Coturnix japonica: one gene and its partners. The protein of the gene in region 1 binds, or shares a complex with, the protein of each later gene. Links are inferred from orthologs where the notes say so. Each region holds a gene or a part of one and is shown on either strand. Other genes may lie near its edges.

Region 1 (4,620 bases):
TTTTTGTCTTGCGTACTAGTCAAATGTTTTTGCTTTTCAGATGGCAGATTTTGCTTTGCTTCTTGATGACGCTGTCTGGGGGAAAGCAGCCCGTTAATTTTCCCATAAGTTACTACAGCATTTGGATCCAAATCAGTATATTCTAAATTCTGTGGAAAAACATGAATGGCACCGTGTTTCAGAAATGCATGAACAGCTGATGCGTTCTGTACGCTGGGAGGCTGGGACTGGCATACTCTAAAAATGGAATCCATGTGAATTAAGTTCAGCAGCTTGTCTTTGAAGGCGCTCATTTCATCCTTATCACACAGAGTCTTTTGTTTCTGTTCAGCTGTACGAGAGAAAATGCTCCCTATGAAATTCCACATATTTGGGAGAACACTTGAGCCAAACGTCACATTTGCATCAGCCTTACTCTGTTCAGGGACTCCTGGGTTTAAGTGAGGTTGACTGGCAAAAGGCTCCTTTACAGTTACGTCTTGCTCCATGCTATTCTTCACAAAGCTCTTGAGTAAGATGTCACCTTCTGTAGAAGGCATGTCTACGACGTTTTCCTCAAGCTCACGCGCTTTGGGGCAGATCAGAAGCTCCGTGCAAGGTTCTAATCTCCCATAGGGGGCTGCTGGCATAAGTGTACCTGAGTATGGATAAATCAGATGAATGAATGCATCCACTCTTGCAAAACAGCTTACTCAAGGCACCAGCAAAGCATTCACTGCTGCTTACCAATTCTGATGTAAACGTGAGTGTGGTGTTCAACCCAAACAGGAAAGATGGCTTTGGGGAATACGATTCGGATCTGGTCCAGAAGATGCTTTTCAAGAGAGGAAGCGTGCAGTTCCTGGGAAAGTGTGGTATCATTGTAAGCTACACACTTGTACAACCTTTAAAATGTGTTTGAACATAGAAGATTCACATCTTTTTCTAATACACCATTTGAAACATAAAATACAATGAAAACCCACAAGACTTAGCATTTGCTTAGGAGCAGAAAAGAACGGGGGATTGCGACAAAAGCTTGTATCAACATTCTCTGTCATTTGCATGAAAATGATGTGAACAGTGGGACAGGTTTTCTTACCAGTATTTCCCAATCATCTGCTGAGAGCGGTTCCACTTCTACTTGCTGACAGGAGGAGACGTGTGAACAGGGCTCCACGAACACCTGATAGAAGCAACATTATTTCTGAATAATTTAACTCCTTAAACACATAAAACCTCTACTCAGAAACTCAAAAAAGGGACCTGCATTTCAAACCTGTTCTCCATCTGCAATGCCAAGCTTCTCTGCTAAATGCCTGTTCATCTCTGCGATATTTTCACCCCGCTGACCTCGATGCCTCATTTCCATCCAGCTCAGGTAGATGGGCTCATCACGGCAGGATACTTTGACAGCTTGGCCCTGTGATTATCAGGCAGATGAAACGAATTACTATCAAATCATACTCAGAAATACTCAGACCCATCTGGGTCCAGGGGCGAGGGGTCCCGGCCCGTTCGGAGGATGCACAGTCACCACAGCGACAGTGCGGGGGGCGGCTGGTTGCCCTGCGCTGTCGCTGTGGTGACTGTGCGTCCTCTCGAGGAGGGCTCTGAGCACCGCCATGATGACGGGATACGATGGGGGGAGGAAGGAGAACCTCTCTCCCACAATCCCCTCCGAACGGGCCGCCCCCATCTCGTCCCCGTACCTGCTGCAGGCGGAGGTGCGAGGCCAGCACGGCGGGCAGGTGAAGGAAGCAGTCCCGGGTCCCGCTCAGCACCACCGTCACCGCGGCGACTCCAGCGGCCCCTCCGCCGGGGTTACCGCTGCCCCACATGCCGCCAGCCGGGTGGGCCGGGCTGTAGTTGCTCGTTCCGCCCGGCTTCTCGGCAGCGCCCACTTCCTTCCCGGAAGAGCCGACCGGAGCCGCGGTGGCGGCCGGGAAGATGGCGGCGGGCGGTGCTGGCGGGCCGGGGGAGGCGTGTAGGCACCACCAGCAGCTGGGAGCATGCGGGTCCAGGGCCAAGTACCGCGAGGGGCGGCGACCCAGGGCCGTCAAGGTGCGGGGTGAGGGCGGGTGGGCTGCTGGAGACTTGTTTAGTCCGCAGGTGTCGGTGCTCTGACATCTGGAGAAGCATCAGCTCCAGCTGATGTTCTGTGATGTGTTCATCCCTGCTTGAGTTCATCCCTGCCCGCGGTGGCTCCACACAGCGGGCAGCACGAACGCTTTGAGTTGTTGTTTTCGCAGTGAGGTAAACGTGGGCATTTTAGAGCATTGAACAGCATCTCCCCTATGAGGAGAGACTTAGGGAAGTGGGTCTGTTTAGCCTTGAGAAAAGAAGGCTGAGAGGGGACTTGATCCAGGTTTATAAATACCTGAGGTGGGGAAGCCATAGTGGTGAGGCTGGTCTCTTTTCAGTAGTGCGTGGGGACAGGACTAGGGGTAATGGGATGAAACTACAGCATAGGAAGTTCTGCATTAATGTGTGGAAGAACTTCTTTACAGTGAGGGTGACGGAGCACTGGAACAGGCTGCCCAGGGAGGTGGTGGAGTCTCCTTCTCTGGAGATATTGAAGACCCGCCTGGACGCCTACCTGTGTGACATGGTGTAGGGAGCCTGCTTTGGCAGGGGGTTGGACTGATGATCTCTAGAGGTCCCTTCCAACCCCTACAATTCTGTGATTGTCCTGTGCTTCTTTCAGGTGTACACCATCAACTTGGAATCGCGTTATTTACTAATCCAGGGAGTTCCTGCGCTGGGCGTCATGAAGGAGTTAGTGGAGCAGTTTGCCTTGTACGGAGCCATAGAAGAGTACCATGCACTTGATGAATATCCCGCAGAGCAGTTCACTGAAGTTTATCTGATAAAATTCCAGAATCTGCAATGTGCCAGGTATTATACACAGCACTATCTGCCTTTTGTTGTTTTAATCCTTCACGGCCCCTTTATGTATGATCTACATCATACAGAGTTGAAGTAAAACCCTCAGCTCTGCTAATGCCATTTAGTTTCCTTCAGGGTGGCCAAGAAGAAGATGGATGAGCGCAGTTTCTTTGGGAGTTTGCTGCACGTGTGCTACGCTCCAGAATTTGAAACAGTCCAAGAAACCAGGGAGAAGCTGCAGGACAGAAGGAAGTATATTGCAAAAGCAACAAATCAAAGAGGTTTGTAGTTAAATCTCATGTCCAGTTTTAATTCCAGTGGTTGGTACGTCTTGGTAAAGCCAAAAGCATCCATTGATGAAAATATACTGTGTTTAGCTGTTTTACATTAGGACATTTCTCAGTTATTCCTAGAGATGGACCTTTCAGAAAGCAACGTTTTAGTTAACATGCACTTTAAAGCTTTTAAACCTCATTGTTTCCTTCATTTCTTTTCAAAACGTTACCTGAAATTTTAAGTACTGCCAGGAAACTGAGGATCAGTTTGTTCCCCTTGTTACAGTTCTTTCAGGCATACCCAAAAAGAGAGATTAGTAAGAGAGCCCCCTCCCTGCCCCTTATTTCCTGCCTGTCATTTGGGTCAGTAAGGAACACGAGGAATGGATTGGGCTGACAGGCAGCTTTGCTGCTGAGTTCCCAGGCAGCGCTGAAGGCTGGACAAGCTGTAAAATAAGTACAATGCCAGGCACAGGCTTCTCCTTTCCTATGCTTATGTACTTGGATATCATTATCCACTGCAGGTGCTGCTTAAGCAGAATCACAGGAAGGTGACTGGGAATGAAGTATTGCTGGTATTATTTCTGTCACTGTATTGAACACTTTATGTATTAGAACTAACAGTGGCATAAAATAATGAAGCTGTTTTCCTTTTCTTTTCTTGTTGTTTTAAAGACTGCTTTCTGTTGAAGAAAACAGAGAGGCCTCGGAGGACCAAGTCTGATTCTCAGTGGAGTACCCCAGGATCACATGCAGCCACTCACTGGGATCCATCCTGCTTTCCAGTTCCTCATGGGTTGTCCCAAAACATGGAATATCCTTCTGGCAATCACAGTCAGGACCTTTTGGCTTTTCCCCACTGCGACAACCCCAGTGCTGAAACCTCTGGGAACTCCAGTCAAAGCTCATCCCTAACTCAGAAGGCGCATCCAGGAGGATGTGCTGCACCAGTGCCTTTAATTCAGCAAAGAACAGTTCCAGCTGATAACGGCATTGACAGGTTTATGCCTCGTACAACTCACCTGCAGGAACGTAAGAGGAAGAGAGAAGAGGGTAACAAATGTGCCCTCACTGAAACAAACGTGGACAGTACTGACATCGTTATTGGCCCACAGCTACCAGAAGTACCTCAGGTGGATATGGATGATGATTCACTGAATACATCAGCTATGCTGATTCGAAATAAGCTGAAAGAGGTATGGATTCGTAAAGTTCTGATATTTTCATTTGCACACATCCTTTTAAAAGAAGTACATTTCTAAAACACTTGCCAAAACCACATTTTTTTTCCCTTCCCAAAATATTCAAGTCCAGAAAGTGTATCAGACCTTACTTTAAACACCTCTGCTACGGAGAGCAAGTGGTAAAACATTAATTCTGTCTATCATGGAGCATTGGAAATTGATTTGTGTGATTGTTTTCTTTAGGAAAGAAGGAGTAGCTAACACACTTGCGTTTCTTGAGACTTTCAGCTCTC
Region 2 (4,147 bases), on another chromosome or scaffold:
TGATTCTCCACCTCCACGAAGAGGTGCCCAAAGTGCCTCTGAGGCAGACCTTTCTCCCCAGCGGAAGAATCACAGGTTAGGTCTATTCCACATGTGAATTCTCATAATGTGAATTATGAGTGATTCTCATAAGCACGGTCCTCTTAAATGTGTTTAGAGCAAGTCTTCATGCTCCAATTTCTCTCATCCTCAAAGGGCTCTGCCTTCTGGAAAGGGTCAGCGTGGTTCAAGGAGTCCCTCCAATCTCTCAGATCATCGCTACCCAGATGAGAAGGGATCTCCCAAGAAGGTAAGGGGTTTGTCTTTCCGTCTGTGCTGAAGATTGCTTCCTCTGATAGCAATCATTAACAGTGTGATGGCTTACAGATGGTAGAGCAGATATATAGCTTGTAAATGCAGCTGTGCCACACTGTCAGTTTGCCATAAGACCACGTGTGAGGTAGATGGAAGATGAGCTCTGCATGAGCACTCTGTATTTCTGGAAGTCTGTGGAAGCTGTTTGCAAAGATGGCAGCAAAGTGGCTTTGTAACAGAGCTGCCTCTCGTGTAACTTCCCCTTATCATACCTGTGAGTCACTGGGCAGCTCTCAGCCAGCAGTAAATGTGATTCTTGTTTGATTTGCAGGCCAAGATGATGTCTGGGGTCAAAGCTGGTTTGGTGTCAGCTGACGTGCTGCGGAAAGAGCAGCAGGAGCTCAGGAAGCAGGAGAGAAGTAGCAAGCACTTGGAAGGTAAAAGTCTGAAACCAGTGCACAGACATCAGCTTTTAGTCTGCTTTTGGCTGCCTGTTAATGCTGTATCAGGGCATGTCTTAAAATGCTGGTAGTAAGGGTGTTGATGGAGAGTGTCTGTGTTGGCTGGCATCCAGGCATGCTGATGAATATACACAGGTAAAAGCCACTGGGTCTCTAAAATAGAAATTTATGAGTGGTGATTTCAAAGAGGTGCCAATGAGACAATTGTGAGGCTTTTGTGTCTCATCTGCCCCATCTGCTATTCCTGATCTGAAGGAGCAGGCTGTTACACCTATAGCTCATTGCATGAGCTATGGAGTGGTTTGGAAACTGAAATATTCCCACGTGAGTGACTCAGGATATCTGTTATCCCTAGAGGAATCCCGACACACGGAAACCATCTTCCGCGACAAGTCAGGCCGCAAGAGGGACCTTGTGCAGGAACGTCTTGAGCAGAAGCAGAAAGATGAAGCAAAGTTGTTGCATGATGAGCAATATGCCAGATGGGGAAAGGGGTAAGGTGTCTTGGTGACATGTCACTTTACAGGTTGCAGACTGGGGGTTGGCAATGAGTTTTGTGCCTGGGACCAGGTTATTTTGTGTGGGATTACCCTGTCTGTTGCTGGGTGCTTCTCAGGGATGCTACACACAGTAGATTCTGATCAATACTACAATTTGAGCAGATGGCAGTAAATTATTCCTTAGTTTTGAGGTGGTACTTTGTATGTGTTTTTAGATTAGCACAGGAAAGGCAGCAGCAGCAGAATGTGGAAGATGCAATAAAAGAAATGCAGAAACCATTGGCCCGTTACATTGACGATGAAGATCTGGATCGAATGCTGAGAGAACAAGAGAGAGAAGGAGACCCCATGGCTGAGTTCATCAAAAAAAGAAAAGCCAAAGAGAACAAGGAGAAGAAAGGTATGGAAAGCTGTGCTGGTGCAGGTTTTAATGCCCAAGGAGCATAGAAATGCAGCTGCTGTTCAGTGAACAGTGTGAGGTTGCTGTGGCAGCTGAGTCCTGAAGATTGCATTGTAGTAACCAATGTCTGTATTGCTGTTTTTGTCTCTAGAGAAACCTAGGTACAGTGGACCAGCACCTCCTCTCAACAGATTTAATATATGGCCTGGGTATCGCTGGGATGGGGTGGACAGGTAGGTATTCCTGATACACTGATGTCATTGAATGGTAGTAAAACTAAATGAGCTTTTGCCTCAGAGAGCTTACAGTGAGTGAGATGCAACTTATTCAACCTTAACACTTCTCATGGTTATGAATGGCTGGTAGGGACATGCTTGTCTGGGACAAAAGGGAGCCAGGTTCTGTTCTGATCTGTTGTGGCACTGCCTGCTGTTTGCCACAGCTCAGAGTGGAAACTCAGCTGGAGGTGTTGATGCAAAAGTAGTGGCAAACATGTGATGTCATTTAAAAGCTTTGTGGCTTTAGTAGATGTGCACGGTAGCCCATGGTCTTGTTGGTGTTATTTTGTAGGTCCAACGGATTTGAGCAGCAGTTCTTTGCCAGGATGGCCAATAAGAAGGCAGTTCAGGAGCTGGCATACAAGTGGAGCATTGAAGACATGTAGATAGAAGAAATAACCATGTGAAACAGCACGACTGAATTGAGATCTGCCTGCTACCACTGCCAGAGCCAAAAGTAACGGCTCCTCTGCCTGGACCAAGCACTGTTCTTGGCATTCAGTATCCCAGTGGATTGTCTTCTTGGAAGCAAGGCTGTGTTTAGAGGAGAGCTGCTGGAAAAGGATTTTCCTGCCAGCCAGAAAGGACCAGTGCCAAAAACTGGAGTGGCTGCTGCCCACAGAGGAACACTTCTGCTCCCTGGTGTTCCTTCATGAGGTGCTGCAGACACTGGTGTCTGACCCACTTATTTCTTTACTAATAAACTGTAGAAACTGTGTTGAAATGTTCTATGCCAAATGCTTTGTCCTCTGAAGGCAGTTGACAGGTCTTCAGATGTCCTAAATCTCAGGTTTATTTCATGGTGGAAGCATGCTGGGATTTAAGTCATGGAGGGTTAATCCTATCTGGTGTGTTGGCCTATTGCAGCACACGGTTGTGGTTTCAGCTATGGCTGAGTTCTTCCAGAGGGTGTTTTTTGCTCTGAAACAACTTAATACTGTGAGCTGATTTACCTGTGGGCTCATGTTATGTCTGCCCCATGTTCTCCATGTCCTTGCTAATGAGCCCAGAGAGCTTCTGCTTGTTCAATGTTGTGTAACTCTTAACCCTTCTGGTTCCTGGAGTCTTTGGCTTGCAGTGAAGTTAGCACAGCAGAGCTTCCTGTAGCCCTTATGGGAGCTGTGCCAGGTGGGTCAGTATGTGGCAAGAAGCTGCTTGCTGTACATATAACTCTAGTTCTCTACTAGAAATGGCTGAATGAACAACACGCCATGTTATATTTGACAGCAAAGTCTTCAGAAGCTCCAGCAGCTCCTTGGGGGTCAATTTCTTGTGGCAATAAACACGCAGAGGCCATTTAAACTGTTTCCCTTGGCCATTATTTTCTTCAGAGTAGCTAATGGTCATGGATTAGTCCCTACAGCTTTCTCTCTGGACAGCCTTGCTGATGGCTCTTAGCGCTGCTGCCTGGGGGCTCGCTTCAGCACGAAGCATAACCTCTCTCTTGTGATTAGATTTGTCCAGCTTGCAGCTGGAGGCCAAGCAGAGCGCTGCGCTCCATCCCTGATTGCAAGAAAGCATTTCTAACTAAAAACAACGGGTTGGTAACAGACATTGTATGGAAGGGTTACATAGCAACAGCATCGGAAGGTTGTGAGCCTGAGATGCTCTACCAATGAGTGTCACCACTGTACCTCACAACTGAACGCCACCGCTGCAAGAAGAAGCTCCCAAGCTGCTCCACCGGACCCTTTTGTTTAGAGAGCATGGATCTCTTTCTTTATTGTCTTAAGCTGTTTGTTTGGTCTGTTATCTGAGCTTCAGGTGGCAGTTTATTGATGAGCATCCAGATGAAGTGAAGCTCATGGAGGAGTTCAGAACAAACAGTGGAAGCTTTTAGGAGGTGAGGGTGGATCTTGCTGTCATTACTGCCTGAATGTTTTTACTATTATAAGCAGTGAAATGTGATTCTTGTTTGATTTGCAGGCCAAGATGATGTCTGGGGTCAAAGCTGGCTTGGTGTCAGCTGACATGCTGTGGAGAGAGCAGCAGGAGCTCAGGAAGCAGGAGAGAAGTAGCAAGTACTTGGAAGGTAAAGGTCTCAAACCACTGTACAACATCTGCTTTTGGCTGCCTGTTAATGCTGTATCAGGGTTTGTCTTAGAGGGCTGGTAGTTAAAGTGTTGCTGGGGAGCATCTGTGTTGGTTGGCATCCAGGCATGCTGATGAATTCACACAGGTAAAGCTGAGTCCTCAAGTTCTCCTTCAGGATTT
Region 3 (4,535 bases), on another chromosome or scaffold:
GCTCTGGGGATGCAATGGGGATCAGTGGGGGGCACTGGGGATGCAATGGGGGGCTCTATAGGGGCTCTGAGAATTCAATAGGGATCCATGGGGGACTCTATAGGGCTCTGTGGATGCAATGGGGATGCAATGGGGATCAGTGGGGGACTCTATAGGGGCTCTGGGGATGCAATTGGGGGCTCCATAGGGCTCTGGGGATGCAATGGGGATCAGTGGGGGGCCCTGGGGATGCAATGGGGGGCTCTATGGGGGCTCTGGGGATAGAAAGAGGATCAGTGGGGGACTCTATAGGGACTCTGGGTATACAATGGGGATCAATGGGGGACTCCATAGGGCACTGTGGATGCAATGGGGGGCTCTATAGGGCCCTGGGGATGCAATGGGGGACTCTATAGGGGCTCTGGGGATGCAATGGGGACCAGTGGGGGGCACTGGGGATGCAATGGGGGACTCTATAGGGGCTCTGAGGATTCAATAGGGATCAGTGGGGGACTCTATAGGGGCAGTGGGGATCAATAGGGATCAATGGGATCAATAGGGATCAATAGGGATCAATAGGGATCAATGGGGAGCAATAGGGATCAATGGGGGACTCTATAGGGGCTCTGAGGATTCAATAGGGATCAGTGGGGGCTCTATAGGACCCTGGCTATACAAGGGGATCATTGTGTTGCTCTATGTGGGGCCAAACATGGTCCCCCCCCCGTCCTCTCTCACCTGTCCGTGCTCCGCCCTGAGGCCTCATTGGGGGCGGTGAGGCCGGAGGCCGCGGATCCACTGGGCCGAGCGGCGGCGGGAGGAAGGGGCGGCCTACCCGGAGGTGTTTACTGACACGGAGCTGCTGGTAGGAACACAGGCTGTACTGGAAGGACGAGCTGAAGAGCCCCGAGCGGGGCACACGGGCCGAGGACAGCGGGATTTGGTACCAGCGGAGCAGCCCCGCCCGCTGACCTCGTCGCGCCGACGTCCCGCGCAACATGGCGGCCATGGGCGGGCGGGGTGAGAGAAAAGGGCGGGCTCTCCTCAGAAAGGCGGCGCTACCAAGTGCGGCTACTAACGGCGGGATTGGCCGTTTAACTGCCGACAGGAGCCCGGCAGCCAATCGCGGCTCGAGGGTTCGACCAATCAGCGCGCGCGCTGAACGGGATTGGTTAAAGAAGAGAAGTGTCCCGCCCACCTGTGCTCTCAGCCAATCAGAAGGGGTGGAGAGTGTCCCCGCCCCCCACCTCCCGCGGTGCATGCTGGGAGCTGCAGTCAACGGGCCTCTGCCGCGGTGCATGCTGGGAGCTGCAGTCAACGGGCCCCTGCCGTGGTGCATGCTGGGAGGCCTTGTGCGGAACCTCTTCCGGGATCGGGCTGTTTCCGCTTCCGTTGTTTCCGCTTCCGCCGGAAGTTCAGCTCCAGGGCCTGTTCCCGTGCACGGCGGTGGCGGGGCGGCAACATGGCGGACGTGACCGCTCGCAGCCTGCAGTACGAGTACAAGGCGGTGAGTGCCGGCTCGGGGCCTGTGCGCGGTGGGGATGCCGGCCTCATTCCTCCGGGCCTTCCCCGTCTAACGGGGGCCAATATGGCGGATCTCGTATAGTGAGGCCTTGTCGGGCCTTGTGTGGCCTGTGGTGATTTAAACCGGGCCTGTTTGAAGCCGGGGGCTTTAAGAGATGGTTGGAGGTGCGGCCTGCGTCCCTTATGGGCGGTGGGGGCTGCTGGATATAGGGCTGTGGGGAGGATAATAGGGGCTATGGGAGGATATAGGGCTGTGGGGTGGGGGTAATAGGGGCTGTAAGAAGGATATAGGGCTGTGGGGAGGATATAGGGGCTGTAGGATGCTTATAGGGCTGTAGGATGCTTATAGGGCTGTAGGATGCTTATAGGGCTGTGGAGGGATATAGGGCTGTGGGGAGAATACTGGGGTATGGGAAGGGTAATAAGGGCTGTGGGGAGGGTATTGGGCTGTAGGAAGAAAAATAAGGACTGTGGGAGGATATAGGGCTGTAGGAAGGATATTGGGGTATAGGAAGGGTAATAAGGGTTATGGGAGGAATGTAGGGCTGTGAGAAGGATGTTGGGCTGTGGGGAGGGATATAGGGCTGTGGGGTGGATATTGGGGTATGGGAAGGGTAATAGGGGCTGTGGGGAGGATATAGGGGCTGTAGGATGGCTATAGGGCTGTGGGGGGGTAATAAGGGCCGTGGGGAGGATATAGGGCTGTGGAAGGATATAGGGCTGTGGGGGGGAAAATAAGGGTTGTAGGATGGATATAGGGCTGTGGGGGGGTGATAAAGGCTGTGGGGAGGGTATTGGGGTATGGGAAGGATAATAAGGGCTGTGGGGATGATATAGGACTGTAGGAAGGATATAGGGCTGTGGGGAGGATAATAAGGGCTGTGGGAGGATATAGGGCTGTGGGAGGGATATTGGGCTGTGGGGAAGGTAATAAGGGTTCTAGGAAAGATATAGGGCTGTGGGGAGGATAATAGGGGCTGTGGGAGGGATATAGGGCTGTGTAATAAGGCTGTAGGAACATAAAGGCTCCACCTGATGCATTGTGACCCCCATCCCCCCCCCAGAACTCCAACCTCGTGCTCCAAGCTGACCGTTCTCTCATTGACCGGACGCGACGCGATGAACCCACGGGTGAAGTGTTGTCCCTGGTGGGTAAATTGGAAGGGACGCGGATGGGAGACAAGGCGCAGCGCACCAAGCCACAGATGCAGGAGGAGCGACGGGCCAAGTGAGAGCTGAGCGGGGCCTGGGGGTGGGAGGGGGCTCTGAGGGGGCTGTGGGGCTTCAGTGGTTATAAGCAATGTGGAATCACACAGTGATGGAGGTTGGGAAAGAGCTGTGAGGTGATGGATCCCAATTGGTGCATACACCACTGAGTGGTGGCATTGAGTGGTGGTATCGTGTTGGTGTATGGTCAGATACCAACATATATGGTTGTTATATGTGGTTGAGTTGTGGGTCCTCAGAGCCCCCCCAGGTTCATCTCCTGCCCTGGTGCCCCCCTCCAGCTTATACCCAACACAACTTCAGTCGCCTTTGGCACCTCCAGGGTTGGGGCACCCACAGCTCCTCTGTTCCACCACCCTCATAGTGAAGAAGGTGACCCTAAATCTCCCCTCTTTTACCCCAAAGCCGTTCCCATATCCATCAGCCCATCCCCAAGCACCACATACACACACCTTTTGATCCTTCAGCATCCTTCACAGCTTTCCCAATGTAGAAATACTTCCCCTCGACCAAAACTTCCCCAATTCAACCCAGGGCTGGGGTCTCTTGTGATGCTGTGGGATAAAAGATCAACCCCCCCTCACTGCTGTGTCCTCCTTTGAGGCAGATATGGAGTTTCTCCTTTTCTCTCCAGGCTAAATAACCCCATTCCCTAAGCTGCTCATTGTAAACTGGCTCCAGACCCTTTGCAGCTTCATTCTCTCTCCTTGTCGGGAAGCGAAAAGTGAAAGGAAAAGGGCTAAAAAGGAGGAAAAACGGGGCAGAGTTTACCTTTATTTTTAACAAAGGGAAGGCCCACGCTTTGCTGTCCAGCATTACTGGGATTCCCTGCTTTGAGCTGCTATGGGTGCTCTCTGTTTGCAGGAGGAGGAAGCGCGATGAGGACAGACACGACATCAACAAGATGAAGGGTTACACTCTGCTGTCCGAGGGCATCGACGAGATGGTGGGGATCATCTACAAGCCTAAAACCAAAGAGACACGGGAGACCTACGAGGTGTTGCTGAGCTTCATCCAGGCTGCCCTCGGGGACCAGGTGAGGAGCTGGATGTGTGTGATGGGGGCACATCCATATCACAAGGGGGATAATATCTGTGCCATAATATCTGCCCCTATGGTGATCTCCTGCTTATGTGGCTGCTGGTTGTTCCCCAGCCACGAGACATTCTGTGTGGAGCTGCTGATGAAGTGCTGGCAGTGCTGAAGAACGAGAAGCTGCGTGATAAGGAGAGACGTAAAGAGATCGATCTGCTGCTGGGCCAGACTGACGACACCCGTTATCACGTGCTGGTGAACCTGGGCAAGAAGATCACGGATTATGGTGGTGACAAGGAGATCCAGAACATGGGTATGGACAGATTATGGTGACAAGAAGATTTAGAACATGGGTATGGGCACAGATTGTGATAGTGACAATGAGATTCAGATCATGGGTATGGGCACAGATTGTGGTGGTGATAAGGAGCTTTAGAACACAGGTATGGGCACAGGTTGCAATGATGATAAGGAGATTCAGAACATGGGTATGGGCACAGATCATGATAATGACAATGAGATTCAGAACATGGGTATGGGCACAGATTGTGGTGGTGACAAGGACATTCATAGCATGAGTATGGGCACAGACTATGGTAGTAACAAGGAGATTCAGAGCATGGCTGTGGGCAGACTATGCTGGTGACAAGGAGACTCAGAACATGGGTATGGGCACAGATTGTGATAGTGACAATGAGATTTAGAACATGGGAATGGGCACAGATTGCAATGATGATAAGGAGATTCAGATCATGGGTATGGGCACAGAT
Region 4 (4,052 bases), on another chromosome or scaffold:
TACTGAGCAGGCTGGCTGTTGCCTTTTGGGTTGGATTAATTTAAAAAATGGTGTATTTTTTTTCAATCGATCTGATCTGGAGATTATGGTATTTAGCGTCTCTTCCTGTTAGTTTGTTGCAGAGGTGTCTGCCCTTCCAACTGATCTGCTGCATGAAATGGGTGCCCGTGGAGTTCTCTGATTGTGTTTTTCTTAATTGTTATTTGCAGGATCCAACAAACCTGGATAAATTCAATGTCTCCAACTTTTTTCATGTTAAGAACAACATAAAAGTGGTTGATCCAGGTAAGGCTGAACTTGAAGGTAGGCTGAGAAAACAGCAGCCTGAATTTGAAACCGGCCCTTTTGCATCAAAAATGTCAATAAATTTTGTATCAAAGATGTGGTTTGTTTAGAAATCATGAGCTGTCTGTGAGTATCTGTGAGTGCTGTGCCGACACAGAAGGTTGTCCTTTAAGAGTATGTGGGGAGGGAGAACTGAAAAGAGGAGGAGAAATGATTTGCCAGTATCCTCTCAGCAGAGCCAGGAGCAGCAAAGCTCCATCCTGTCACAGGTCGCTCCCACCTGCTGTGTGCTGGGCACTCTCATGTCAGTGCTGTGGCAGCGTGCTGTCTGTCCTTCTGGCTGGATGGCAGCAGACGTCTTACAAACTAAGACTGATACATTTTTCTAATATACCCCTAAAATTATTTCAGTACAAAATAAAGTACCTTTTTTGTCCTTCTTTGTGGGTTTTACAACTAAGGACTTTGCAAATTATTTATTTCTATTCTTTGATAGCTAAATGCTAATATTACATAACTGGAGGAATAAAGTCTCTCCTGTGTCCCTGGGGTTTCCACTGGAATTGTTTCTGATACTGTTTGCATATTCTGAGCATGGTGTGTTTTTCTGAGTCTTAGCTGTGCTCAGCTCCTTAAGGCTGACTCTTCAAGCATCTCTTTCTCTATTACCCACTTATTTTTAGAGGGTAATATCTGAAGGATGGAATGTTTAATTTTCAGTGAATAGAAGACATGCCAAGATGAATAAAACTTGCTTAAAACGAAGAAATTCTCCAGGTCTAACCCCACTTCCTCCTCCTGGTGTCCCAGTAAAGGTCTGATCTTGGGACTTCTGCATTGCAGACCTGGTCATTCAGGGGACAAAGGACAGGATTTGATGTTGTACCCAACAGGCTGTTGTCTTTATTGTTCTATAGAAGTAATTTGGTTAGACTTGCATGAACTTGGATAATTCCTAGAGGTTCCTAAGAGATTTCTGCAACAATTGAAATTGATTTTCTGTTTTCACGATCATATCAGCATTCATTGTGTCGTGTTTCAGGTTACCTTGTCTTTAGTGTTACACATTGCTACTTGTTGCTTCTGCAGGAGCAGATATAGTTACTGGACTTTTTATTTTAAAAATGTAGAGAGATCTGGAAGACATTCGTGTAACAAGGAGTGTTTTTCTTTTAATTTGGAATGATTTAACTTTGTCTTATCTAGATGAAGAAAAAGCAAAATTGGATCCATCTTATTACTTGAAAAATACAAATACAGAGACCCGAGAGACTTTACTGGAGCTTTATAAGGAATTCAAGGGTGATGAGATTCTAGCAGCCACTATGAAGGCTCCTGAGAAGAAGAAAGTGGATAAGCTGAATGCCGTAAGTTGACGCAATTTGTACTTGGCACCAATATACTTCTTGAAGAGAGAATATTGCAGGACAGACACCATCCCTTGTGTTCTCAGTTACATGGAAGTTGATCATAGTTGCGAACATGAAACTCATACTGGGATTCCATTGCAATGCGTCGTGTGTGTCAGTGAGTGTCTTTGTTGAATCATTACAAATGAACCCAAACTCTTTAGAAACAGAGCAAGAAGGAGGATTCTGTCTTGTATGGTCATTATGTATGTGCTGGGAGAATGTTTTCTCCCAGGTTGCAATCTCCTGCTTTGAATTTGTTTGTCATTGCTTCCTGCAGTTACTGGCAGAGGGAACACACCTTAAGGGCAGTACAGGTGAATCATTTCTGGTGTGGGCAAATACATAAATCAACTTCAGTTGCTTCCCCATTTTTTCTACTGTGTGTTCATGGTTATCCAAAGAAACATTCGTCTGCATGTAGATTTCCTCCAGCCTGGCAGAGTATTTTTCTTTCCTTCAATCATTCTGGGATGTCTGTGTTTTCATGCTTTGATTATGTTTGCACAAGAAAGAGTAGTAATGCAGCATATGGCCTTTTGTGAGGAATAAATTCTGATAATAAAATCTTTGCGTAATAATGTGTTGAATTGTTGTTGAAGGAGTAAACCACTTCAGCTCAGTGCCTGGGCAGCCTTCACTAGAGGCGAAATGTTACGGGGAACAGATGGAGAAATACCAGTGCATCACATATCTGTCCCTTTCTATAGGAGCTAGAGCAGGAAATCTGACTTCAGAAGTATGATGTAAATGCCGCTTGTGTGTTTACACTGCTTGTGCAGTATCTAGTACATATATGGTATTTAAAATAGATTCTAAGATCTAATGTATTTTTCTTTTGCTTCTTCTTCTGCAAACAGGCCCATTATTCCACTGGAGCAGTAAGTGCTTCCTTCACCTCCACTGCAATGGTACCTGAAACTACCCATGAAGCAGGTACCAGAACTATGTATTACAAGCTGTTTGCTTACCTTGCAGTTTTAAGGTGTGCTCCCTTGAACACACACTTTTACAGGGATAAGGAATGCGTTGATAAGCAGTTAGTGACGATGCAGAAATGTATGTACATTCCAGTGATCTCATTCTGGAAATAATGGAGCTATTATGCGTTAGCTTAATCTCTGAATGGCAGTTACTTACAACATTAATTTCAGTTCCATGTATTTTCTATGCCTGGGACCCACAAAATGGGGTATCTGCTTATGTAAGTTAGCTGTGAAGTGTAATCTCTCCTGGTATTGCATACAAAATCTTTACCACCCTTTTGGTCTAACCTAGTTTGGTTAGATTAACAGCAGGTTTTTTAATGATAACTTTTGATTTACTACTTTTCAAAGTTGTAATCTATGCGAAAGTACATTTCAGTAATGTAAAGATTTTCTTTCATTTTCTAGCCTCCATATAAATCTGTAGGCCTAATTAAATGTGAACACTGATTAAATAGTTGAGCAGTTAGCTTGTCTGTGTGGAGAGATGTCTGGCTTTGGGCTCTTCAATGTAAAGTACTGAACGAAGATGGAATGCCATACTGAAATGACATGGTTACCAGGTCGTGTTCCTGAATTACAGTGGTTTACACGTGAATCTTTGAGCATTGGAAGTGTTTGACTAATTGGATGTTTTGACACAACAGGAGTGGAAGTATTCCAGATTGATCCCTTGGTTTGACTTTCCAGTAATGTTTCCAGTAATTTAGCTCCATTTGTTTCCAGAACTGGGTAGATCCTCCATATGTCAGCAGTTTGTGGTTGGCCGATGACAACCTGTTTAACTTCCAAGTTTGACAAGAAATTATTTGGTTTCAAAGTAATGTTTGTGATTGGCAGACGTTACTTGAAAATTACAGTATATGATATCAAATGTTTCTGTGACTTAAAAGCAGATGTATGTAATTTATATATTGTATTGTTGGCTCTCAAGGAGTTGGTGGCTTTCTGTAATGGAAAGTGGTTTGCACAGAGAGATTAATGTGAGGCTGTCGGAGATAAATTGCCGAGTGCCACCCCTGAAGACCTAGTGCACTCCAGAGGAATAAGCCAGAAAGCAGAATCTAGTCATTTGTTTGCTGATCAATGAATAAACTTCTAGAGACCTAATTACTGCTTTTTGTTTTGTTACAGCTGCTATTGAAGATGATGTTGTGAGATACCAGTATGTGAAGAAGAAGGGCTATGTACGACTTCACACTAACAAAGGAGACTTAAACTTGGAGCTGCACTGTGACATGGTACGGTATGCCCTGTAGGCTGCAACTTCTAATTTATCTCTAGGTAACAAATACAGGAGGAGCTGGCAAGGGAAATGTCCAGAGATGGGGAGCAATGTGTAGTTGTAATAGACACAGGTGAGTAATGAGCT
Region 5 (3,500 bases), on another chromosome or scaffold:
AACAGTTGACCATTGATTGCCCACAGGCTGACCATGAGCCAGCAGTGCATCCTGGTGGCCATGAAGACCAGTTGGACCCTGGGGTCCTTTAAAAAGAGCGTGGCCAGTAGGGTGAGGGAGGTGCTCCTGCTCTGCCCTGAGGCCGCATCTGCAGCACTGGGTCCAGCTGTGGCTGCTCAGCTCCAGGCAGGGAGCTGATGTAGGGACATAGAGATGGTGGAGGCCTGGAGGAGCATCCCCTGATGGGAGAAGGCTGAGAGCCCCGAGGGCTGTTCACCTGCAGAGGCTGAGAGGGGATCCAGTCAATGCTTATCACCATGGGGGAGCCCCAGAGGTCCCTTCCAACCCCTGTGGTTCTATCACTCTCCTGATCTATGCCCCTTTATCCCCTTGCAGGACCGCCTGAGCCGCTGCACGCTGCACTGCTCTGACAGAGCCAAGGATGCCCTGGAGGCGGGCGGTGGGGAGACAAGGGCACGCTCCCAGCTCGACGCCTGCGTTGCTGCCTGTGGGGACGAGCACCTACGCCTGGTGCCAGGCATGGCCAAGAGGATGCGGGATGGCTTGGCGGCCCTACAGCACTAGCGGGTGCTGTTGGGGTGGGGGAAGGTGGTATTAAAGGCAAGGAGCTGCACTCGTGGTGCTCGAGGGGTGCTGGGGGTTTGGGGTGTGGGGGTGCAAGGTGTGGGGTGGTGGCTGTGTAATGTATGGGGTGGGTGTGTGCAAAGTATGGGGTGATGGCTGTGCAGTGTATAGGGGGTGGGATGAGCCATGCAAATGTGCAGTGTATAGATAGGGTACAGGTGTGCAAAGTGTGGGGTGATGGCTGCGTAAGGTGTGTGCAGGTGTGCAAGGTGTGGGGTAGTGCTTCTGCAGGGTGTGGGGCACTGTGTGCAAAGGGTGCTGGTGTGTAAAGGGTGCAGTGTGCAAAGGGTGCAGTGTGCAAAGGGTGCAGTGTGCAAATGTTGCAGGGTGTGCAAAGGGTGCAGGTGTGCAAAGGGTGCAGGTGTGCAAAGGTGCAGTGTGCAAAGGGTGCAGGTGTGCAAAGGGTGCAGGTGTGCAAATGGTGCAGGGTGTGCAAAGGGTGCAGGGTGTGCAAAGGGTGCAGGGTGTGCAAAGGTGCAGTGTGCAAAGGTGCAGTGTGCAAAGGGTGCAGTGTGCAAATGGTGCAGGGTGTGCAAATGGTGCAGGGTGTGCAAAGGGTGCAGGGTGTGCAAAGGGTGCAGTGTGCAAAGGGTGCACACTGCCAGCTGTGAGCCGATGGCTGTGCAAGGTGTGCACGGTGAGCCGTGCAGGGCTTGCAATACGTGTATCAGTGCCTTTGTGTGTGTGCAATGCCGTGCATACAGTGGGTGTGCAATGCGCGGTGCATGCAATGCAGCAGAGCTGCAGGTCTCCATGCACGTGCTGCATGGGGGCCGCTCCAAACGCGCACGCGCGCCGCGTCCGAGCGCTCTGATTGGCTGCCGGCGAGATGCGAAGGTTGGCGGGAAAAGGGGGCGGGGCTTTGGGCGTAGCGTGCGACGTGATGACGTCATTACGCGGCGCGAGCGGCAGCGGCGCTGAGGAGACGCCATGAGCAAAGCGCACCCACCCGAGCTGAAGAAGTGAGAGCTGGGCCAACATGGGGATGAGGGGGGATGAGGGGGGATAAGGGAGGACTGAAGGGGATGAGGGGGGCCCAGAGGGTCGGGAGGGGCCGTGGGGTCCGGTTCGGGTTCGGTCTGGGTCCGGTTGGGCCCGCAATGATGGCGGTCCCGACCCCACACTGATGCGGCCTGCTCTGTTTGCGCTCTCGTTGCAGGTTCATGGACAAGAAGCTGTCGTGTGAGTCCCGCTGTTATAACGGGGTTGTGCCATGAGCCCACATTCACAAAGCCCCCCCCCCCCCCCCATCCCTCCCTTCCCTTTTAACCCCCCCCTCCCCTTGTTTCTGAATGAGCCGGTTTCTCGTAGTGAAGTTAAATGGCGGCCGCCACGTGCAGGGGATCCTACGGGGCTTCGACCCCTTCATGAACCTGGTGATCGATGAGTGCGTGGAGATGGCGCCTGGAGGGCAGCAGAACAACATCGGGATGGTGGTGAGTGCTGGGGGGGATGGCAGCCCCCAGGCCCACTTTGTGCCTTGGGCTGGGGGCTTTGGGCTTTGGGCTTTGGGCTGGGGGCTTCCTTTCAGTTCAGGCCTCCCAGTGCCCATCCGTGGCCTTGGGCACCTCTAGGAATGGGGAACAGCCTCAGGAGGGCAGAGCAGGATGGGACAGAGCCCTCCGTGTCTGCTGCAGTAACAGAGGGGTGGCAGCCCAGCTGGCTGTGAGGTCACAAGAATACATTGCTGTCTTATATCAAGCTCTCATCCACCTTTTCTATCAACCACCCTCCTGCAGGAGCCTTTTCCAGCCGGCTGACTGCTGCCATGAGCCCCTGCAGTTCTCTCATTCACTTCAGCTCTTGGAGCTGCACATGCCATGCAGCTTTCTAGGAGGAAAAGTCAAAGGGAAAGAAAACCTTCTGTGCTGTGGGCATAACGTGCTTCATCTCACCTCCTGCTGACAACTTCTCTTTGTAGGTAATACGAGGAAACAGCATCATTATGCTGGAAGCTTTGGAACGAGTATAGTGGCAGAGGAACCCTGTAGTGACCCGACCCCGTTGTGTTTTGTTTACTCACCTGAACCTAATGAAGCAACCACAAGTGTAAGCTTATTTTTTGTTAAATAAATTTTGTACTGGTTGGTGTAACCCGTGTGAGCTGTGCTTGGTGGAACTGAAGCCTGGGGCAGTTAATCTTGTGAGTGCAGCAGTGTGTCAGTGGCAGCTTTAAAGCTGGAGGATGGCTTTCAGGCAGCTTTATTTCTTTGAGTGGGTGTTCAAATGATACTGGCTATATCTTTAAACCCCCCCCCATAAATAACAGGCTGTGGCACTTCTATTCCTAGCATTGCTCTGTAAAGAGTGAAGGGGACTGAAATATCTGTCCTGCTCAAGTGTTTGCCTGCAACTTTGTGCTGGTCTCCACCTCTGTGCTGAGGCAAAAGTGGTTTTGGTTATTCTCATTGCCCCCAAGCAGACAGAACAAAGCATTGACCCCAGGGTACCAGCAAGCTTCTAAGAGTTGAATCGTGTTCCAGCACGTACGGACTCCTGTGATGCTGCTAATCTCAGTGCAAGTCCTGCAATTTAGCTTTAATCAAGTGCATTCATCTTTTCTAGCACAGCAAGAGTGAGGCTACACTAGTGGAGGCTTGTTAGTGGGAGTTTGAGCTAAGCAAGCACAACTTGCTGGTACAGGAGAACTCTGCTGATGGAGAACCGAGCAGCAGCTCTGAGACACAGCACAATGCAGGTAACACAGACAACAGTTCAAGGCAGCACCTGCTTACATTCAAACCAGTGTGTTGCTTTTATTTGTAATGGCAACATGGTATTTACTACGTAGTTAAGACATGAGTGAGGTTCAGCAGCAAGTAGATGATCGCCATTTCCCTTCACCAGTCCCACCC
Region 6 (4,105 bases), about 19 Mb from region 1:
TTATGCTAAAGGCCCAAAGTTCTCCATCACTTTAAGAATGGTTGCAATGCAAAGGTGAATTTGGTATTGTTTTTGCTAGTCAGCTGCTTCTGTTCTTGATGTTGTTGGAATAACTCACAAAAAAAAGGAGTATGGATCAGAGGAGGAGGTGTCACCCTAATGCCATGTTGCACTTGGGAGCAGCTTCTTGCTTTTCATGCATGATGTAACACACTTTAAAAGGAAAGGTTTTTTTCTTTAAAAAGCTACAAAATAACATGTGCTGGTTAACAATAAATGTGTGTCTTTAAATTTAGTGCTTCCAAGCTGTATAAAAAACAAGTAATCCTACTTGAGGACCAATTTTAAACTATTTTGTCACTTATTTTATATGGTTTGTTCAAAACCAGCCGTGAAACTTGCTTAAGGCGCTGCACATTGTTTAATATTTCCTGTAAGTACAGCTGTATATTCAGATTGCAGTTATAAAATGTAAATGGGGGGAGAAACGTGTAGAATCTTAGAGCTAGCACAGTTGTTGTTACTGAGGTTAGAACACAAAGCACTGATACTCCAGTGTTTCACTGTGTTGTGACTGAAACTGTGTACAGACTTTTGCAGTTATCTGTTCATTTTAACCTTGAATGTTGCTGGAGGCTTCTGGTTCTATGTGAGCATAACCTGCACATAAACATCAGTACTCACCATGCCTCTGTCTGCTTCTCGATGCTGTGCTGGGAATACCAATTGGTGGTTAACTGGAAACTCCTCTCTGACTTCATTTACCAGTGTCACCTCTGTCATAGACTCAAAGTGCAGGAACACCATAAACTCAGTATGTAATGGTTCTTACGGCTCTCGGGCAGCTGCCCTCTCAAACTTGGTTCTTTGCGGTTTGTTTAAAGCAAAACATAAAATAACAGATTTCATGTGGAAAAGAAGAGCTGTGGTGTGTGTGTAGGGATGGAGGGAGAGACGTGGGTTAACGTGGGTTCTCAGAGCTGGAGGGCAGCCAGATCTCAGTGCTTTACAAAAAGAGTCTGTATTGCAGAAATCACAACAGTGTACTCATCAATGATAATAAAAGGTCTGATTTTTCTAGATCCTGGCCGCTGCGTTTGTGTGCCTGAGCTCCTTATCAACTGCTTAACGTAGAAGCATCGCTGGTGCGGACTAGACTATTTGCACACAGCTACAGTGCTTAGATACGTATAATCCCGAGCCCACCATTCCAAAATGGCGGCAGCGCATCCCCTCAGTGCCCGCCCGCCCTCAGCCCCGCGCAGTCGCGCTGCGTCCCGCCCCTTCCGCCGCGCCGCTTCCGCCCATTGATCGCAGCCGGCGGCGGCCGCTCAATCTCTCGGGGCTCGGTGCGCTCGTTGGAGGCCGCGTTCCTGTCCGCCCGCGCTCGCGGCGCTTCCGCCGAGGCCTTTTCGTGCCCCCAGGGGCGGCCGCCGCTGCCCGCCGAAAGCCCCGCGGCCGCCGCGCCGTCCCGCCGGCGCAATGAAGCTCGTCAGGTGAGCGGATGGAGGCGGATCGCGGAGAGAGGCGGCGGGGAGCCCGCGCAGGCCGCCTCCCCCTCCCCACACACAGGCCGCCCGGCCTGTCGGGGCCTCGTTGCGGCCTGGGCTCTGCGGCGAGCGGCTGGGCCTGCGAGCGGGGCTGCCCGGGAAACCACCCCGGGGGGTTGGGGGCGGAGCCGGGTGGAAGCGCCTTCACGCGGTGCCGAGATCCAAAATGGCTGCTGCTTAGCTGGTGGTCAGAGAGCAGCCCGAGTTGGACGGGATGCACGAGGGATCCCGAACCCAACTCACGCAGGGCGCTCAAAACACAAACCCTGTGACTGGAAGCGTTGTCCCGACGCTGCTTGAGCCCGGTGCCACCGTTTCCAGCCCCTGGCAATTGGGCGCCGTTTGGGGCTTTGGCTTTGCCCCATGGAGCACCTTCAGTGCAGTTCATGGCAGCTGAGAACGTTTGCGTTAGGATGTACATCGATCGGTTCCCCGTATCAGCATGTGGTTGGACATAAGGCTTAGTGTGACAGCAAACACTCTGTGCTTAATTCCTAGGTTTCTGATGAAGCTGAGTCACGAGACTGTGACCATCGAGCTGAAGAACGGGACGCAGGTGCATGGCACCATCACAGGTACGGTGTGCCAGCAGCCTCCCAGGCTGATCTGAGCTGTGTGGGGTAAAGGAAACCGGTGCTGGCGTGGCTGGTGTAAGTGTGGTAATCTGAAATTACTGCAGCAGCATGCAGGCATTGTGAGACAGTGTCACTGCTGTATCAAAGGGCAGTGGTCATACAGCCTATCCACTTATGTTTCAGAACATTTTGGGGCTGGAACTTGAAGGTCCCTTCCAACTTAAACCGTTCTGTGATCTCATTGGTAAAGCTGCAGTACACTGTAGTTGCATCAAGAAGTCACCACTGAGTCACTGGCAGAGAGATATTTTTCTAACGGTAGCACAGATAAATGGTAAATGCTGAACATGGTTACAATCTACTGAGATGTAAGGGTTAAAAGCACGTTATTTTGCAGCCAGATCCGTCCATTTTGTTAGAAGCTGGCTGTGGTGGCAGCACTCTGTGCCTCCTACCCTTGTACTCTCACAGCCTTCGCTGTTGAGCAAAGTCTCTCTCATGCTGTGCTAAGAACCTGTAAAACCCTGCAGTGCCATCCATGGTTCTAAAATGACAGTCATCCCTGTACATGGGTGTACGAAGCCTGTTGCAGCCACGGTGCCACCTGCAGTTGGTGCTTCTGATGCTGATGTTAGATGTGTTTGATCAGAAGATCATGGTTGTACTTAGAAGGAAACGCAGTGTTATTTTTCTACTCAAAAGTTCGTTTTCTTTCTTTTGAAAGGAGTAAAAAAGACAAATATTATGCTTTTGTAGTAAGTGGCAGTTTATTTGTTGTCCGGAGGAATCATTTTAAGTGTTTAGTGTTGCTATGACTTAAGACCTAGGAACAGATCCCTACAGCTGGTGGTAAGTGGCTCTTCCTTTGGAAATATATCAGTGTTGAGGGCAGCAGCTGATAAATCAGCATAATTAATAGAGGAAAAAAAGATGTAGTTTCTTCTTCCACTTAAGAGGCTTAATTAACAAATGGCACAGATCCAGAAGCGTGTGTTAGCAAAGTCTTGAAGCACGTGCACAGTTAATAATAGCCAAAGAGGAGTCATCCTGTGTGTTCCCACCCCTGAAATCAGCCTTGTGTTATTTCAGGAGTGGATGTCAGTATGAATACTCATCTCAAGGCTGTGAAAATGACGCTGAAGAACAGGGAGCCTGTACAGCTGGAGACATTGAGCATTCGGGGGAATAACATCCGATACTTCATCCTACCAGACAGTTTGCCCCTGGACACCTTGCTAGTAGATGTTGAACCAAAAGTCAAGTCCAAGAAAAGAGAAGCAGGTGAGTGCATGATTTCCCAGTCTCTGCTTGTTTTACTTTGTGTTTTCGTGCTCTCGCTCTGAAGGCATGTGATTGGAAATCTTAATTTCTGTATTGCTTTCATCTCTGAGGGTTTGTACCGAACTCTGCCTTGTGTACCTTCATTGTGTCTGTAGTCTCCTTTCATGAGAAGTTATTTACACAGCTTCTCATGCATCTGTTTTAAAGTGTAAACGTCTTTAAGTGTGAGTAAATCTTAACCTATGGCATTCTCAGAGGCAGCACCAATGGGATGCACAGTTTCTCTTTTCAAAATGTCTGCTCTGTTTCCCTGGTTTCTGTGTGTAACTTTGTATTTAGCCTAATAAGAAAATATAGAGCAGCCTCAGGAGCGGTGCTGGACTGAAATCTCACTTGGCAGTGGATACAAACAATCTGCTGGAGAACCGAATTGAAGGGGCTTCAGAATGCAGAGGGAGCTGAGGCTGTGTTCCTGTGGATAAAGCCCTTAAAGCCTAACAGAATAGGGAATGCTTCTGGTTTTGTTCTGCGCCGTTAACAATTAATATCCAGTAAACTCCACAAAGTTTGTGTCTTCAGGCAGTAAAAGTTTTGCCCAGCAGTGTTAATCAGTGTGTCTTTCCAGAAATAAGTTAAAGGTAATCGTGCTCTAAAGCAACTGCTTGCCATTTCTCCTGTAATTTATGCTTAATTATTTGG
Region 7 (3,348 bases), on another chromosome or scaffold:
CCTCCTTGGGCAACCTGTTCCAGTGGGTCACTACTCTCTGTGTGAGAAACTTTCTTCTAATATCTGACCCAAACCTCCCCATCTCAATTTAAAACCATTCCCCCTTGTCCTACAACCATCCACCCTCATAAACAGTTGTTTCCCTTCCTATTTCTACCCTCCCTTCAAATACTGGAAGGCGACAATGAGTTCTCCCCGGAGCCTTTTCTTCTCCAAGCTAAACAAGCCCAATTCCCCCAACCTTTCTTCATAGGAGAGGTGCTCCACCCCTATGATCATCTTAGTGACCCTCTTATGGACCCATTCCAAGAGTTCCACAGCTTTCTTGTGATGACGGCTCCAGGTCTGGGCACAGTACTGCAGATGGGGCATCACAAGAGCTGAGCAGAGGGGGACGATCACCTCCCTCTCCCTGATGGCCACCCCTTTTTAATGCAGCCCAGCACACCATTGGCCTTCCAGGCTGCAAGCACACACTGCTGGTTCACATCCAGCTTCTCATCCACCAGGACCCCCAAGTCCTTCTCCAAGTCATGCATCAGAGGAACTGACTATATGAAGAAAAGAATGTAGCTGGTCCTGTACTTCTTGGTACACAGCTTTCCCAACACAAGTAGGAGACATGATAAAAGTTGGTTCCAAACCTAAAAAGTGCTGTTTACAGACAAAACACTCATATTGTTCTATTGTCATTCACATATACACCATTAACAACTGTCAGAAAAGTGCAAGTCTTCCATGGCCTTTAACCCAAAGGACTCATGCTGAGCTCATTGCATTCTGACGCCTTGTATGTTTTCACTCCAAGTTCTCTATTCTTTGCTGCAAGGGGCATGAAAACCGTCCATATACACGATTTCCCACATTGTTTATTATTTCCTACATATCCTCAGCACTAACTTCCTTGCAATAAACTTATAAGCAATTCTCTTTCAACTGGCGCCCAGTGAGTTTTACTGTCAGAAAGAAAAAAAAAAGCTTTATTTTAACGTTATCTCTGTTCCCCAGCCAACACATGAGGACAAACACATCCATTATAAATTATCACAGAAACAAATACGAGTGCACTTCAGATAAACATTTATTAAGAAGAATCGTAATTGCTGCTCTTATCCTATCCATCCATAAAGGTAGGGATGTGAGGGGGGACATTCTGGATCTGCAGAAGACACGGTGTGAGGCAGCCGGGGGCTGAGGGAGAGGTGGACAGGGAAGGGGAGGAGAGGGATGGAGGGGCAAAGGCCTAACAGAGCAGAGCGGCGGCACAGTGCTGCGCTGCCACCCCCCGGCCACCACAGACGACACAACCAGAGGTGGTATACGACCATTGGCTGGAGCAATGAGGAGGGCGGCCATTCCAACTAATAAGATTGAGCCCACAACCCCTTTTCCCTTCGCGCTCCGTGGCTCCGTAGCCAATCGCGAAGGCGGCGCGGCGGGGTGAGAGGTTGGAGGTCGGCGCGGCGGCACGGAAGTGGAAGTGGAAGGTATCTCAGCGCTGCCTTCCATTCTGCCTCAGCCCGCGGCGCGCACGAGGCGATCCCGCCTGGCTCTGCGCTTCTCGGGCCGCCATCGCGCCCCATCGCCATGGTGAGGGCAGGGCAGGGCAGGGTGGGGGGAGGCTGTCGTTAGCGGTTGGGATGGCGGGCGGTGCTGACCATTGCTCTCCCCTAGAGCCTGCCGCTCAACCCGAAGCCCTTCCTCAACGGGCTGACGGGGAAACCGGTGATGGTGAAGCTGAAGTGGGGGATGGAGTACAAGGGATACCTCGTCTCCGTCGACGGCTACATGAACATGCAGGTGAGGGATGGAGGGAGGGACCCGGGCCTTGCTTGCTTGTGGGAGGGAAGCAGTAGTGAGGCTCCTGTTGGTGTAATGTTTGTGCTGATTTTCGTTCCAAGCTTGCAAACACAGAAGAGTACATCGATGGAGCACTGTCTGGACACCTGGGAGAAGTTTTGATAAGGTAATCGTGGTGCCTGAGCTGGGGAACGGGGTCTTGTGGGGACTTCTGTGTCTTGTGTTACTGCTTTGTTGAAGCTGGTGGATCTAGGGGATGTGCTTGTGTTTTAAGTTGAAAGAGGGAAGATTTAGGTTGGATGTTAGGGGAAAGTTCTTTACTAGAAGAGTGGTTAGGTCCTGGAACAGGCTGCCCAGTGAGGTTGTGGATGCCCCGTCCTTGGAGGTGTTCAAGACCAGGTTGGACGGGGCCCTGGGCAACCTGATCTAGTAAATGTGTATGTTTGGTGGCCCTGCCAGACAGGGGGGTTGGAACTACATGATCCTTGAGGTCCCTTCCAACCTGGGTAATTCTGTGATTCTGTGTGATTCTGTGTATTGGAGCACTAAATGCTGCTGTAACTCCCATGTGAAGTGAACATTGTATTTGCGAGGGAAATTAAGACATTTCAACTAAGGGAGCTCTTGATTCTATTTACAGGTGCAATAATGTTTTGTACATCAGAGGTGTGGAAGAAGAGGAAGAAGATGGAGAAATGAGAGAATGATGATTTGTATATCTGGAAATAAAGGGTTTTTTTTCTTTTTTTTTTTTTCTTTTCCACAACGTTGTCATCAGGTGTTTATTTTGTTCTTGTATTTGACTATGGGGGGAGTTCACCCAGAGGCTATAAAGAGTCATGAATTTCAGTGGCATTCATAGAGCTAAAACAGCCTGTGGAATGGGAATGCCTGATCTCAATCTGCAGTATTATGGAAAGAACACACAAAACACTAACAACAGGCCACTCTTTGTTATCAGGCATCCAGATAACTGAAGTTTTGGCAGGAACATAATTGCTTTCTCAAATGTTAAGAGCAACCATTGACATTAACCGAAGCTGTTCTGTACCTATCAGCATTTCCTAAAGGTAACCATTGCTTTGCTGATGCTGCTAGTCAGAGCCTCCCCTTGTGAAGGATCTACTTGCATCTCTAGGCTGGAGAGAGGTTCTACAAGCCAAAACACAAATGGCTGTACCTCATGGATTTGTGTGTGACTTTGCGCTGTCTCATCAGTGACCATTTGTCTTACATCTATTCTCAAATACACAGGTATACTTTCAGTGCTACAGATGGATTAAATACAGCAAAAAGGCAGTGACCCAGCTGTGGAGTTAAAACTCCCCAGCACAGTAGGTGTAAACAGAACCTGCTCCCATATCAGCGTGGCTCACTGAGCTGTGGGTAGGGCACTGCAACTGTGCCTCATCTTAATGCTTCATCAGCAGGTGGTGCCATCATCATGAAAACACCTGTGTGATAGTGTTAGCTTTTCAGTGTAACTGGGAAGCTCCAGTATATGCTGGGCAGGACTGACCTGCTGTGCTGAGCTCCACCACAGTGTGC

The links.
Region 2: RBM48 (region 1) and BUD13 share a complex: the UniProt entries of both Homo sapiens proteins name them as parts of the minor spliceosome. The link is inferred for Coturnix japonica from reciprocal best matches to the Homo sapiens genes RBM48 and BUD13.
Region 3: RBM48 (region 1) and SNRNP200 share a complex: the UniProt entries of both Homo sapiens proteins name them as parts of the minor spliceosome. The link is inferred for Coturnix japonica from reciprocal best matches to the Homo sapiens genes RBM48 and SNRNP200.
Region 4: RBM48 (region 1) and PPIL2 share a complex: the UniProt entries of both Homo sapiens proteins name them as parts of the minor spliceosome. The link is inferred for Coturnix japonica from reciprocal best matches to the Homo sapiens genes RBM48 and PPIL2.
Region 5: RBM48 (region 1) and SNRPG share a complex: the UniProt entries of both Homo sapiens proteins name them as parts of the minor spliceosome. The link is inferred for Coturnix japonica from reciprocal best matches to the Homo sapiens genes RBM48 and SNRPG.
Region 6: RBM48 (region 1) and SNRPD1 share a complex: the UniProt entries of both Homo sapiens proteins name them as parts of the minor spliceosome. The link is inferred for Coturnix japonica from reciprocal best matches to the Homo sapiens genes RBM48 and SNRPD1.
Region 7: RBM48 (region 1) and SNRPF share a complex: the UniProt entries of both Homo sapiens proteins name them as parts of the minor spliceosome. The link is inferred for Coturnix japonica from reciprocal best matches to the Homo sapiens genes RBM48 and SNRPF.

The regions. Positions count from the first base shown.
Region 1 is NC_029517.1:20,668,829-20,673,448, forward strand, and holds the start of RBM48 (RNA-binding protein 48), read left to right. Parts: upstream 1-1,402; 5' UTR 1,403-1,604; coding exon 1,605-1,730; coding exon of another isoform or gene 1,731-1,820; exon of another isoform or gene 1,821-1,842; intron 1,843-1,900; exon of another isoform or gene 1,901-1,929; coding exon of another isoform or gene 1,930-2,043; intron 2,044-2,686; coding exon 2,687-2,877; intron 2,878-3,003; coding exon 3,004-3,149; intron 3,150-3,818; coding exon 3,819-4,339; intron 4,340-4,620. Other genes in the region: PEX1 (peroxisome biogenesis factor 1), read right to left, coding at 1-637, 727-841, 1,082-1,165, 1,259-1,402, 1,692-1,820. UniProt on the Homo sapiens protein: As a component of the minor spliceosome, involved in the splicing of U12-type introns in pre-mRNAs.
Region 2 is NC_029539.1:4,398,167-4,402,313, reverse strand, and holds the end of BUD13 (BUD13 homolog), read left to right. Parts: coding exon 1-75; intron 76-195; coding exon 196-289; intron 290-625; coding exon 626-731; intron 732-1,110; coding exon 1,111-1,249; intron 1,250-1,470; coding exon 1,471-1,655; intron 1,656-1,806; coding exon 1,807-1,888; intron 1,889-2,225; coding exon 2,226-2,319; 3' UTR 2,320-3,235; downstream 3,236-4,147. UniProt on the Homo sapiens protein: Involved in pre-mRNA splicing as component of the activated spliceosome. As a component of the minor spliceosome, involved in the splicing of U12-type introns in pre-mRNAs.
Region 3 is NC_029537.1:1,057,728-1,062,262, reverse strand, and holds the start of SNRNP200 (U5 small nuclear ribonucleoprotein 200 kDa helicase), read left to right. Parts: upstream 1-1,352; 5' UTR 1,353-1,441; coding exon 1,442-1,486; intron 1,487-2,567; coding exon 2,568-2,731; intron 2,732-3,594; coding exon 3,595-3,766; intron 3,767-3,885; coding exon 3,886-4,078; intron 4,079-4,535. Other genes in the region: protein FAM178B, read right to left, coding at 718-988. UniProt on the Homo sapiens protein: Catalyzes the ATP-dependent unwinding of U4/U6 RNA duplices, an essential step in the assembly of a catalytically active spliceosome. Plays a role in pre-mRNA splicing as a core component of precatalytic, catalytic and postcatalytic spliceosomal complexes.
Region 4 is NC_029530.1:470,371-474,422, reverse strand, and holds part of PPIL2 (RING-type E3 ubiquitin-protein ligase PPIL2), read left to right. Parts: intron 1-209; coding exon 210-285; intron 286-1,491; coding exon 1,492-1,652; intron 1,653-2,554; coding exon 2,555-2,630; intron 2,631-3,814; coding exon 3,815-3,921; intron 3,922-4,052. UniProt on the Homo sapiens protein: Has a ubiquitin-protein ligase activity acting as an E3 ubiquitin protein ligase or as an ubiquitin-ubiquitin ligase promoting elongation of ubiquitin chains on substrates.
Region 5 is NC_029537.1:791,335-794,834, forward strand, and holds SNRPG (small nuclear ribonucleoprotein G), read left to right. Parts: upstream 1-1,488; 5' UTR 1,489-1,575; coding exon 1,576-1,607; intron 1,608-1,804; coding exon 1,805-1,827; intron 1,828-1,956; coding exon 1,957-2,081; intron 2,082-2,566; coding exon 2,567-2,617; 3' UTR 2,618-2,739; downstream 2,740-3,500. Other genes in the region: protein FAM136A, read left to right, coding at 397-585. UniProt on the Homo sapiens protein: Plays a role in pre-mRNA splicing as a core component of the spliceosomal U1, U2, U4 and U5 small nuclear ribonucleoproteins (snRNPs), the building blocks of the spliceosome.
Region 6 is NC_029517.1:39,382,146-39,386,250, reverse strand, and holds the start of SNRPD1 (small nuclear ribonucleoprotein Sm D1), read left to right. Parts: upstream 1-1,305; 5' UTR 1,306-1,482; coding exon 1,483-1,496; intron 1,497-2,048; coding exon 2,049-2,125; intron 2,126-3,214; coding exon 3,215-3,406; intron 3,407-4,105. UniProt on the Homo sapiens protein: Plays a role in pre-mRNA splicing as a core component of the spliceosomal U1, U2, U4 and U5 small nuclear ribonucleoproteins (snRNPs), the building blocks of the spliceosome.
Region 7 is NC_029516.1:41,569,964-41,573,311, forward strand, and holds SNRPF (small nuclear ribonucleoprotein F), read left to right. Parts: upstream 1-1,433; 5' UTR 1,434-1,587; coding exon 1,588-1,590; intron 1,591-1,674; coding exon 1,675-1,800; intron 1,801-1,901; coding exon 1,902-1,966; intron 1,967-2,440; coding exon 2,441-2,507; 3' UTR 2,508-2,566; downstream 2,567-3,348. UniProt on the Homo sapiens protein: Plays a role in pre-mRNA splicing as a core component of the spliceosomal U1, U2, U4 and U5 small nuclear ribonucleoproteins (snRNPs), the building blocks of the spliceosome.